3 linked regions of the Oryctolagus cuniculus genome follow. The protein of the gene in region 2 interacts with the protein of the main gene of each other region in a pairwise test. Links are inferred from orthologs where the notes say so. Each region holds a gene or a part of one and is shown on either strand. Other genes may lie near its edges.

Region 1 (4,224 bases), on a different chromosome or scaffold from region 2:
AGCCAGGAGCCAGGAGCCTCTTCTGGGTCTCCCACGTGGGTGCAGGGGCCCAAGGACTTGGGCCATCTTCTACTGCTTTCCCAGGCCATAGCAAAGAGCTGGATCGGAAGTGGAATAGCCAGGTCTCTAATTGGTGCCCATATGGGATGCTGGCACTGCAGGCGGCAGCTTTACCCACTGTACCACAGCGCCTGCCCCTGATCTGCTTCTGATGTAGCTCTCTGCTTATGTACCTGGGGAAAGCAGCAGAAAATGGCTCAAATACTTGGGCCCTTGCCACCTATGTAGGAGACCAATATAAGCCTGAGGTCCTGGTTTCAGCCTGGCCCAGTCTGGGCCATTGCAGTCATTTCGGGAGTGAACAAGCAGATGGAAGATGCTTTTCTCTGTCTCTCTGCATTTCAAATAAATAAGTTGTTTTTTTTTTTTTTTTTTTTTTTTTTTGACAGGCAGAGTGGACAGTGAGAGAGAGACAGAAAGGAAGGTCTTCCTTTTTTTTTGCCGTTGGTTCACCCTCCAATGGCCGCCGCGGCAGGCGCGCTGTGGCCGGCGCACTGCACTGATCTGAAGGCAGGAGCCAGGTGCTTCTCCTGGTCTCCCATGGGGTGCAGGGGCCCAAGCACTTGGGCCATCCTCCACTGCACTCCCGGGCCATAGCAGAGAGCTGGCCTGGAAGAGGGGCAACCAGGACAGAATCCGGCGCCCCGACCGGGACTAGAACCCGGTGTGCCAGTGCCGCAAGGCAGAGGATTAGCCTGTTGAGCCACGGCGCCAGCCACCAATAAGTTTTTTTTTTAAATGCAAAAAAGAATATGTTTTTTACAACAAACAGAAAATCATACCTTTATTAGGTTTATATAATAAAGTTTCATTTTTTTAAAACATTCTTTTTTTCTTAAAAAGATTTTATTACTTATTTCAAATGCAGAGTGACAGAAGGGAGGGAGAGACAGATCTTCCATCCTCAGGTTCACTATCCAAATGTCCTTAACAGCCCGAGCTGGGTCTGGCTGAAGCCAGGAGCCAGGAACTCCATTCTGGTCTCCCAAGTGAGTGACAGGAACCCTAGCATTTCACACCATCATCTGCTGCAATACTGGCACCCCTTATCAGAGTACCAGTCTGAGTCCCAGCTGCCCAGCTTCGGATCCAGCTCCAGGCTAGTGTGCCTGGGAAAGCAGTGGAAGATGGCCAAATTATTTGGGCCTGTGACATCCATGTGGGAGACCCAGATGGCTCTGGCCGAGGCCACTGTGGTCACTAGTGGAGTGGATCAGCAGGTGGAAGATCTCCCTCCTCTTTAAATAAATCTTTAAGTCAATATAATGCAGGAACAATAGGAACTAACCTAGATTCAACAGACTAAAAGACATTAATAAATGCAACATCAAAATTATGGCACAGTGGGTTAAGCTGTTGCTTGCAACGCTGGCATCCCATTTGAACATGCATTCAAGTCCCAGCTGCTCCACTTCTGATCCAGCACCCTGCTAATGTGCCTGGGAAAGCAGAAGATGGCCAGAGTGCTTGGGTCCCTGCACCCACATGGGAGACCTGGACAGAGTTCCAGGCTCCTGGCCTCCACTGTGGTCACTGAGGGAGTGAACCAGCAGGTGAAGATCTATCTCTCTCTCTAACTCTGTTAACAAAACCTTGAATGGATTTTTTTTTAAAAAAAGATTTAATTACTTATTTCAACTGCAGAGTGACAGAAGGGAGGGAGAGACAGATCCTCCATCCTCAGGTTCCCTATCCAAATGTCCTCAACCGCACAAAAGCCAAATTTGGAACAATGTGGAGAATTCTGGCTTCTACTAAAAAGGGTTGATATTACGTGACAGTCTTTCACTTTCTTGATTGAAATAATAGTCCAATGTCTTTCACCTTTGAGTTGCATTAGCAAATACCTAACAACGGAGACATCACACCTGCAGCTAACGTGGAGGCATCATGTCTAATTTATTTTCAATGCACTCTCATATAATTTTAACCATAAAATATGTTTGCTTATCTGAAGAGAGAAAAAACATGGCACATGCTGAACACAGAGGAGTCTATTACAATGGGCATTCATTGTCCTAGGTAGATTTAAAATTTTTTGAAAGAAGGTGGGGAAAAAGATAGACTATCACTCTGTTAACAGTCAATTCGACTTGTTTCAAGCCTCGCGTTAGTGAGGCGGCCCCGGACCGTCAGCTCTGTGAGACGCCCGGGCCGAGGCACATCGAGCGTTCGACTTTCCCTTCCGCAGGACGAGCTGTCGCCCACGAGCGTGTAACCCTCCCATCGAGACACCTCTCTACCGGGCGTCTCCGAAAGCACCTTCATCCTCCTGCTTCAGCGTGACGTGCCGCCACGCCGACTACGAGCACGGGGAGGCCCGCTGCGAACCCACTCTCGCTCGGAGCTCACCGGAACGCGCCGGATCCCGGATCCCTCCTGGAGCGCGGGGCACGGGCGGTCCCCGGAGATTTCCCAAGGCCCGACCTCAGAGGACGGAAACGTCCCCAGGCCGCGCTGTCGCGACGCTTCCGGCCCGGGCCCGTCCGGGGCACCCACGCGCGGAGCGGCCGCTCGGGCCCCGCGGCCCCGGGAGGACTCGCGGCTCCGGAAGGCCCGGGCCTCCCTGAGGAAGCCACCCGCGTCCTTCGTCGCCTTCCTTCCACACTCAGGGCCTCCCCTTCACGCGAGCGACTCCAAGAAGGAACCAACCCGAGGAGGAACGAAAACGCAGCAGCTTTGGAGATTTCCCGAACCCGGGACGGGGGACGCGGCCGGATTGTGACGCCACTTCCGCCTCCGGGCTGCGGGGCGGGACTCCGCGGAGCTTCCGGTTGCCCTGGGCGCGGAGCGCTGGGGGTCCCTGAGGGGACTCGGCGCGGTTGAAGTGGACGGCGCCTGTCCCTGAACCCCGAAGGCTGTGGGTGGGGACTCGCCGCACGCTGGGTGCTTTCCTCCGCTCGCGTGCCCGGCGCCCTTGACAATGTCCCACGGCAAAGGGCAGGCCGAGCTATGAAATAAATGGCAGGTCACCTCCTCCCTGTCAGCCTTGTTTGTAGACCTCTATTTCACGTATCTCTCGGGATAGAACGCTAAATTCTAACCGTGGATTCCTGTGCGTTTTCAGGGTGTTGATATTTTTTGTAGCTCATAAACTTTTTTTTTAAACCCAACTATTTCTGGGCTTTGTGGGAATCTCCAGTGATCCAGGGCCTGCCATCCAATGTTGTAAAATGTCGCTGCCGGCTGGTGCTGTGGCCTATTGGGCGCCGGGTCGAGTCCCAGCTGCTCCACTTCCGGTCCAGCTCTCTGCTGTGGCCTGGGAAAGCAGTGGAAGATGGCCCAAGTCCTTGGGCTCCTTCACCAGCGTGGGAAACTTGGAAGAAGCTCCTGGCTCCTGGCTTCAGATCAGCATAGCTCCAGCCATTGCAGCCATCTGGGGAGTGAGCCAGGGGATGGAAGACCTCTCTACCTCTCTGTAGGGGTATTTTTTTTTTTCAAATAAATATATATTTTTTAAATACCACTGCTGGATGGCATTCTTTACTTAGGAATGATTAAAGAGTTTCTCTAGTAGTCATGTTTGTTGTAGTTTTCAGTGGCTGGTAATTGAGAAGTAAATTTTTATTTAAATTCTTAATAGCACATTTTATCAGGACCTAATAAGTACATTATAAACTTTCTTCTTAAAGTTGTATTTTACTTATTTGAAAAGCAAAGTTACAGAGAGGAGGGAGAGATAGAGAGATCTTACATTCTCTGGTTCACTCTCCAAATGGCCCCAATGGCTGGAGCTGGACTGAGCCAAAGCTAGGAGCTTCATCGGGGTCTCCCATGTGGATGGCAGGGGCCCAAGCATTTGGGCCATCCTCCGCTGCTTTCCCAGGTGCATTAGCAGGGAGCTGCATCGGAAGTGAAGCAGCCGGGACTCGATCTGGGGTCTGTAAGGGATACCAGCGTCACAGGCGTCAGTTTAACCCTGTATGCCACAGCGCTGGGCCCCATTATCAACTTTCTAATGCAGCTTTTTCTGTTTTCAACTTTTGGTGTACAATTTTTTTTTTTGTAGTCAAAAGAGTTTATGTTTTTTTTTCTTTTAAATTATTTACTGGGAGGGGGCAGAGTAGGTGGTGGGGAAGAGCCCCAATCTCATGGTTCACTCCTCAGATGTCCACAACTGCCAGAGCTAGCAAGGCAGCAGCTCAGAGCCAGGAACTTGGTCCA
Region 2 (3,316 bases):
AGACCCAGGGGACTCCTGTGACCCCACAAGTGCCAGGCACCTGCAGGCCACTCCAGGGCCAGGCTTGCAGCTGCCCACACTGAAGGCCCTTGGGATGAGAGGAGCGAGCACTTGCAGGTGAAAACAGGTGAGAAATTTGTGAAATCTATGCATAGTTTATGACTTTAATAATGTACACTTTTTGTGGGTTTTTGAAGACACTTCATATGCATGGATTTCAAAAAATTTATGCCCCAATAAATTAATATTTTAATTCCATTTTCCATGAGCTTCGTGCAGGACAGCCATCAAGGTCTGACCTTGAACCTCATAGTGCGGGGACTGTGTTCAGCCACTTGTGTCCCTCCAACCCACACCAGCCCACCTTGCCCCGCCGAGTGGAGCCACTGAGCCCCCAAGGCCGCGGTTTGCGCTGCTGAAGAATTCACCGGTCGGAGAGGAGGTCTCCAGGGTTGCTCTCAGTGACAATCAGGTGCCCCCGCATGTGCTCACACACACACACAGGAAGGAACCCAGCCTGCCAACACCTCCCTGCCTGGACTCTCCGGCCTGAGGGTCAGGTCTCCAGTGACACCAAGTGCATATCACAGAAAGTCCCTCATGTTCATTTTAATAGGCTTTAAACACAGATACGTTAACACAGAAACTGAAGGGAGGAGGAACGCGGTGACCCCATTCGACTAATCCCAGAGAGTGCCAGACCTCCATCCCACTCCCGCCCCAGGCTGACACCCAGGCCACGGTCACGTCTCCTGATTGCTACGAGACAGGGCTTTCCTGCTGCAGCGTCTATGTCTGAGAAGGGCCCCTGCCCCCGAGCTGGGAATGGAGACAGAGGCAGAGAGAAGTCCCAGTCCTAATTGTGTGTGTTCAGAGGGGAATGTCCAGGAGGGGGCGCAGCAGCACTAGCTGTTGTCCCATGTGTTTCGGAAACAGAAATGACTCAGATGAAGAGCTAGACGTGATGGGCGTCCATGAAGCAAAAAACAAAGCCAGGGTCATGTGGACATCAGCTCAACCCCAAGGTCACGGCTGTCCAGGGCAAAGGTCTGGTCCACCGGGTGGGTGAGGGATTACTTAGCGCTACCATCGCTACAACTTTGAGCGCACAGCCTAACACACAGCACCACACGCTAACATCGCGGGGGAGTCTGTATCGCTGGGTGACTGCGTTTGGCAGGCGGCGGTTACGCAAGACAGCGAAGCTGCAGCCTAGCTGCTGTTGGCAGCCTGCGCCCGCCGAGAGAATAAATAATCATGGCAGGATCTACTCTAACAGGATGCCCAACCCCAACATTACAGCAGCATGCAGAGCCACAGAAGCAAAAAGAAATGTGTCTTCAATGCCTATCTACCGTGGGTGTCCCCAGCACGGGCAGGGCCCCTGCAGGGTTGAGAGAAAACGAGATGTGCCCCCAGGCCAGGAAGCCCGACCCCCGGGCTCATGTCACCAACGCAAGCCACACGCGCGTTCCGGGCACGCCCCTGCGTGGCCTCCTGCGCGTTCTGGGCACGCCCCTGCGAGGCCTCCTGCCTGCCGTCCCCGGTTCTGAGCCCTCGCAAGACCCCTGCCTGGAACTTCGTGCCTTGGGTGTGCTCAGCCCAGCCTACGCTCAGGGCGATTTTTAGGGGTCTTTGGGAGAGGTGTACAGGGTCTTAGACAAAAGGCGCCATCACCCCCACTGACGGTCAAAACTACTTCTGTCACTTGTGTCTTCCACTCTGCCACGGGGGTGCCTCTTTGTATCCTAACGCTATCGTGTCCCAGACAGACGCCAGGCCGGTGGCCAGGGAGCCCTCACCGGCTGTGCCACTGCGCCCCGGCCCCGGTCCGGGAGCTTTCTCGGCCGGAGACAGGACCACTGTGTGGGGGAGGGGGGAGCACTGCTTGGCCACCCACCAGAAAGAATGACTTTTCTGGAAGCCTCTGCCGGAACCCCTGAGCCACCTTCATGTGCAGTGACGGAGCCGAGTCGCTGAACCAAACTGAAGTGGGGAACCTACCTAGGAAATGCAAGTCTGAGATCGGCTTCCAATGAATTGAGCGCATTTAGCAACAGCCTCGCAGCAAGCCTGGTCCAGACAGAGGCCCCGTCGCTTGCCAGTTTCCCTTCCTAAGGAATGGTGCACCAAGGGTCTCGGTCACCTCCAGGGTCACCCTCACCCTCTCTCTCTCTCTCAAGGATCCCGAAAGTTTACAGCTCGATTCTGAGATGCCACAAGACCTGTGCTCAGGAGACGGTAGCTGAGTCACTGTGGTGCGGAACACCTGCAAAGCGGCGGATTCCCCTGGGCTTTCCACGCAGGGCAGAGCGGCTCCTAACTAGACCTTGCGAGTGGAGCCCTCACCTGGGACGGCCTGAGACGCTGACTCTCACGAAGGCGGTTACCGTTCACAGATGGCTGGTGTTTATGCTAGATAGAGTACCACTTGGTGGTAGGTTCAAAGGCGCTTTTGCTCCGTATGGTTTTTTTTTTTTTTTTCCTTTTTCTATTTTGGGTAGAAATATTCCTGGGAAACTAGATAGAAATGCATTGTCATTTCCCAATAATTCTTAGGCACGAGTTAGAAAACTGCTGACCGTGACTAAAATATGTCAGCACTTGACGTTATAAAAAAATGCAACTGAGAACCGCCGCATGTGTATATCCGTGTATCTAAATACACACACATCTCGGTGCAGTACACAACGATTGCTGAGTGTATATTGAAAATTGAGCTTTTTGTGACCTGAAATTCTGCAGTGGAAGTTCCCTCGAGAACTGGAGTTGTCTTTCTTTTGGCGCTAACTATGGTAAAACGCTTGCACATCACACACCTTCCTAAATGCCAACAACACCAGGACAGTCTCACACGGTGGGGGGCAGAGGACGCGGCCTACGAGGCAGGATGCAGCTACTGAGCATGCGCGCTTGGGCCGGCTCCGGGCCGGGCCCCGGGTCAGTCCGCCCTCGCGGTGGACCGGAAGCCGGAGCTCCCCTAGGCTGCGTGGTGACGTCATCTGGGCGTCGTGCTGAGTCTGGCTGGAGAGGAGGGCCCCGAGGAGGCGCAACCTCGGTAAACTGGAGACGTTGGGGAGAGTTTAATCGGGCTGGTCGGATCCCCGGTTTGCAGCTTCCAAAGCAGCTCCTCGTTGGTTCGGCTCAGTCTCTTCTTCTCCTGGGTCTCCTTCTCCACATATTCCTGCAGATTAGCGTTCTCCTCTGACAGTTGTCTGCACGGGGAAAAGGACAAAGTTGGCAGTGCGTGAGCAGGTGCGCAGCTGGACGCAGGGCCCAGGGGAGAGCCAGGGCCAGGCCACCCAGGGTGAAACAA
Region 3 (4,356 bases), on a different chromosome or scaffold from region 2:
GTCCCCGACGTCCACGGGGATGCCGCCGCCCTCGGGCGCCGCGCCGCCGGGCCCGAACAGGCGCAGGGTGCCCCTGCCAAGGGCAGCCGGGCGCTCGCCGGCCGCGGGCCGGCCGCCGTCCACCAGGGAGAAGGGCAGCGAGACGACGCGGGCGCCCTCGTGCGGGCACTCGCCGCCGTCCGCCGCGGCGCCGTCGAGGAAGTCGGTCTCGGCGAGGCCGCCGGGGTCGTGGCCGCCGGCGCAGCAGCCGGCCGCGTGCCCGGCCCTGGCCGCCGGCCCCCAGGCCAGCTCGGGCGCCGTCTGCAGGAAGCAGAGCTGCAGCTCACAGGCCTCGCAGCGGTCGCCGAAGCGGACCTCGGGGCACTGGCTGAGGTGGTCGCCGTAGCACCGCCTCAGGATGTGCAGCACCAGCTTGCTGAGGAAGATCCACACGTTGAGGGGGCTCACCTGGCAGTCGCCGCGGGGGCCCGGCGGCCCCGGGGGGCACATCCGGCACCGCTGGCCCCACACGCGCATCTTGACCAGCCCCTGGCGGCTGCCCGCGTCCCACCACAGGTGGAAGAGGATGTGCACGTGCGCCGAGCGCCAGACCCACAGGCAGCGGCTGCACTGGAGCCTGCGGGGAGAGAGGGCCGTGAGCCGCGGCCGGGCAGGACGCAGCTCCAGCCCGGGAACAGCCGGGTGCCGGCCGGCGCAGCCGCAGCGCTCGGAGCTGCCTCGCTCTGGGCCAGGCCCTGCAGCTTGAAGACCTGAGACGCAGACACGCGCACAGCAGGGCAGCACCAGGGTGCACCCCGGCCGGAGGCCTGGGAGCCACGCGCCCCCACATTCTGCTGTCTGCAGTGTGGACTCCCTGAGTGCCAGGGCAGGAGGGGGAGCCGACTCAGGGCCTCCCGGCTGGGCCTGGCCAGGTGATGAGAAATTTGGGAAATTTAAGGGGGTGCTGGTGTGAGGGATGCCCCCTGCAGCTAAGTGCAGGCTCGGGGGACCCTGGACAAGCCCCCTGGATTCTGAACAGTGCACCTCATATGTGAGCTGGAGAGTTGGGCACCACACCCCTGGCTGAAAGAAGCGCCCAGCTCCTGGCCCCCAGGATGGACTCTCCTCCAAGGTCCTTGGGTTGGGGTGGGCAGATTAAGCCACTACCTGAGACACCCACATCCCGTATCGGAGCACCTGGAATCTCCGCCTCTGCTTCCGATTCAGCTTCCTGCCAATGGACCTCGGTGACGAAGGTGCTGGCTTCCCTTGCCACCCACGTGGGAGACCCGGATGGAGTTCAGCCTGGCTAGCCCTGGCTGTTGTGGCCGTTCGAAGGCTGAACCATTGGATGGGAGAAGTTCTGTCTCTCCCCACCCCCATCAGTCTGCCCTTCATCTAAATAAAAATGAGTAAACTTTTTAAAAAGACGGGGCGGGGGGGCAGATGAAGGGCCACTCATTGCTGCCCTCAGTGACCCTGTCTTTGCGCTGCCCATGGGACTTTCCAGACGATGGAACTGCTTTAGACCCTGCGCGGCCGAGGAGCCTACAGAGCGCATGGACGTGGAGCTGAACTTCTAACTCTGCTTAAGTCTGATTAGCGATCAGAAGCCACAGGTGCCTGGTGGCCCTGGCTGGAGACATGGGTGTCGTGGTCCCCGTCGTCTGGGTGACCAGAGCCACCTGCATGCGCTACATGGCAGCACTTGGCTGTGGGGCCAGGCAGGGGCTTCTCGGTCTTCTCAGACCCAGCACCTGGAAGAGCCAGGGCTCCACCACACACTGGCCCCCAGATCCGGTGCTCGGGAGCTATGTGGTCAGAGGCAGAGAGCAGGACAACCGGTCAGCATGCCGAGGGGCCGACGGAGCTGCTAGAGCTGCCCCCTGGCTGGCGCCATGAGCCAGGGATGCACGCTGGGGAGGTTCATGGTGGTGATGAAGTATGAGGCTCCCTGGGGACCCTCTGCCACAGCCTCCCCAAGCAGGACTGCCCGGCTGGCTGGTTGCTCAGGCCTGAGCACCGCACCTGCGCATTCCAGGCCCTGCCTGGACACCATGGCAACACCACGGGAACAGCGCAGGCCAGGGGAGCGCCCACCCCCCTGGCAGCCATGATGTCAGCACTGTCGGGTCTCAGCTCTGGCACCGCCCGGCCCCACCCACCTGATGGGGGACAAGTCCAGGCGGGGTGGATGCCCGCTGCCAGCCCCACAGCACCCACTCCAGGGCCACTCGGGCCCGGTCTCAGAGCCTAGAAAGGCGCCTTCAGCCTCCCCTCACCCACAGGGGGCTCCCCCCCGCCTGCCCTTGGCCGCACCTTGAAAGCCCCTTCAGCCGATACTGGAAGCTGCTGCCGTCCAGGGGCCCCGCGGCCAGGCTCTCCTGGGGGAGCAGGACCCAGGCGTCTCGGGGCTTCCTCTCGCTCATCAGCTGGGCGAAGGTGCTCACCCACACGTCCGCCCCAGCCGCGTCCATGCTGCGCGTGTCTGCACTGCGGGCTGACAGCCGCACTCGTTCAGGGGCTCCCAGGAAGCCTCGGTCCCGCGCTGGCCAATCAGCTGCCTTGACAACAGCACGGTCTCCGTGGCAACCGGTTTGTCTCAGAGACATGGAAGCAGAGAGGAAAAATACAATGAAATCGCCTGTGACCCCAGCACCCAGAGGTCACGGTCGCGACGAGCTGGGTGTGCTGATGTCTGTGTGGCTGCCGTGTACATGGGCGTGTATGCTTGCACAGCCACTGTCACAGACCAGAGATCATGTGACACGCATGCATCGCCTGCAGCTGCTCTCTTCCCTGCACGACGCGTGAGCAGTGTCCCGTGAGCGTCTCTCCAAGGGTCTGGTATTTTCCAGCGGACTGCCAACCCTGAACTGGAACAGCATGGCACTAAATTCTAAGACACCGACATAAAAATGCCTAGAACATACATGCCAGCCTCACACCTCCCAGGCAAAGAACCAGCCCGCAGCTGTCCCTGCTGCCGCCAGCCTCAGGCCCCTCCACCACTGCGCTGCCCCCAGCCAGGCCGAGCCCCGCTTGTGGCTGCACGGCCTGAGCCGCAGCCTCAGCAGCCCTGCTCACAGCTTGCGGAAACAGCATGTCTGGCTTCTCCCTCCCTCCCAAGACTCAGGGAACAGCGAGAGAAAGCTAGTGCAGAAAGCAGGCCAGCCTTGGCCGTCCAGGATGGCAGGGCTGCACGCACGGCCAACCCACAGCTGTCAGTGAAGGACTCAAGCCGAGGCGGCCTCTGGTGACCGTGGCTGGGCAGCTTCTCCAGGACGAGGGCCATGTTGAGGCTGGGGTGCAGAGGTGGCCCCAGGAGCCCTGAGCATGGGCACCTGGCTCAGGGCAGCCACCATGGAGAGGAGCTTGTGGGCAGCTGCTCTGGCTGCTGGAGAAGCTCATGCTGACAAGAATAGACACCCCCAAGGGCCATTTCAGGGGACCCCCGGGAGACACCCCACACACATGGAACCAGAGCCTTGTAGCCTCTGTGGGCCCCTGGAAGCTGTCCCTTCCAGTCACTGGGGCGGGCTGCCCTGCTCACGCCTGCCCAGCTCTCTGGGGGCCTGCAGATGATGTCCCAGGTCTCAGGGACATGCCCCTGGACGGGCTCAGTGCCTCTCCCATGCCACACGTGGTCGCTCAGCTCACTTTGCCCTGCTCACAGCTGCACAGCCCACCTGCCCAGCTCTCTGGGCCCAGCTGCAGGTGCAGGGCCTGCAGACGACCGTCCAAGGTCTTGGGGATGTGCCCTTTCCATGCCACACGTGGTCACTCAGCTCACTCCGCCCTGCCCCGTCTGCACCTGGCTGGCTACCCATCTGTCCTCTACTTGTGGGCAGGGTGCTTGGTCCTTCTGGTTTTGTTTTCTTGTTTTTAAATTATTTTTATTTTGTTTATTTGAAAGACGGGCTGGGGGGCAGGGAGAGATCTTCCTCCTGCTGGTTCATTCCCTAGATGGCTGCAATGGCTGGGGTTGGGCCAGACGGAAGCCAGAAGCCTGAAACCCAACCGAGTCTCCCACATGGGTGCAGTGGCCCAAAAATTCAAGCCATCCCCTGCCGCTCTCTCAGGTGCACTAGCAGTGGAGCAGCCAGGACTGGAACCAGCAGTCGGGTGAGGTGACAGCACCACAGTGCCAGCCCAGCTTCGGGCCTCCGGGGCTGGCAGCCACCCGCTCTTCCTGAACCAGAGGACGGCAGGTGCTCTCCTGCACACAGGCACCTGCTGGGCTCTTGGCTGCCCTGGGCTTCTCTCCTGCCTCTGCCCTGGACACTGAGCGGCCTCTCACTCCTCCGCCGGCTCACCAGTTCTCTCCCTTCTCCAGCTCGCCGCTGATCCTGAAAAGAGCGTGCTGCTTTATTTTGC

What was found.
Region 1: the proteins of MTUS2 (region 2) and zinc finger protein 426-like interact in binary tests that used the Homo sapiens proteins (3 or more experiments, as listed by UniProt). The two-hybrid records come from large-scale screens. The link is inferred for Oryctolagus cuniculus from reciprocal best matches to the Homo sapiens genes MTUS2 and ZNF426.
Region 3: the proteins of MTUS2 (region 2) and RTP5 interact in binary tests that used the Homo sapiens proteins (3 or more experiments, as listed by UniProt). The two-hybrid records come from large-scale screens. The link is inferred for Oryctolagus cuniculus from reciprocal best matches to the Homo sapiens genes MTUS2 and RTP5.

The regions. Positions count from the first base shown.
Region 1 is NC_091447.1:67,469,181-67,473,404, forward strand, and holds the start of zinc finger protein 426-like, read right to left. Parts: upstream 2,928-4,224; 5' UTR 2,413-2,927; intron 1-2,412. UniProt on the Homo sapiens protein: May be involved in transcriptional regulation.
Region 2 is NC_091440.1:85,067,914-85,071,229, forward strand, and holds the end of MTUS2 (microtubule-associated tumor suppressor candidate 2), read right to left. Parts: intron 3,216-3,316; coding exon 2,999-3,215; 3' UTR 595-2,998; downstream 1-594. UniProt on the Homo sapiens protein: Binds microtubules. Together with MAPRE1 may target the microtubule depolymerase KIF2C to the plus-end of microtubules. May regulate the dynamics of microtubules at their growing distal tip.
Region 3 is NC_091434.1:56,364-60,719, forward strand, and holds the start of RTP5 (receptor-transporting protein 5), read right to left. Parts: upstream 2,928-4,356; 5' UTR 2,592-2,927; coding exon 2,299-2,591; intron 617-2,298; coding exon 1-616.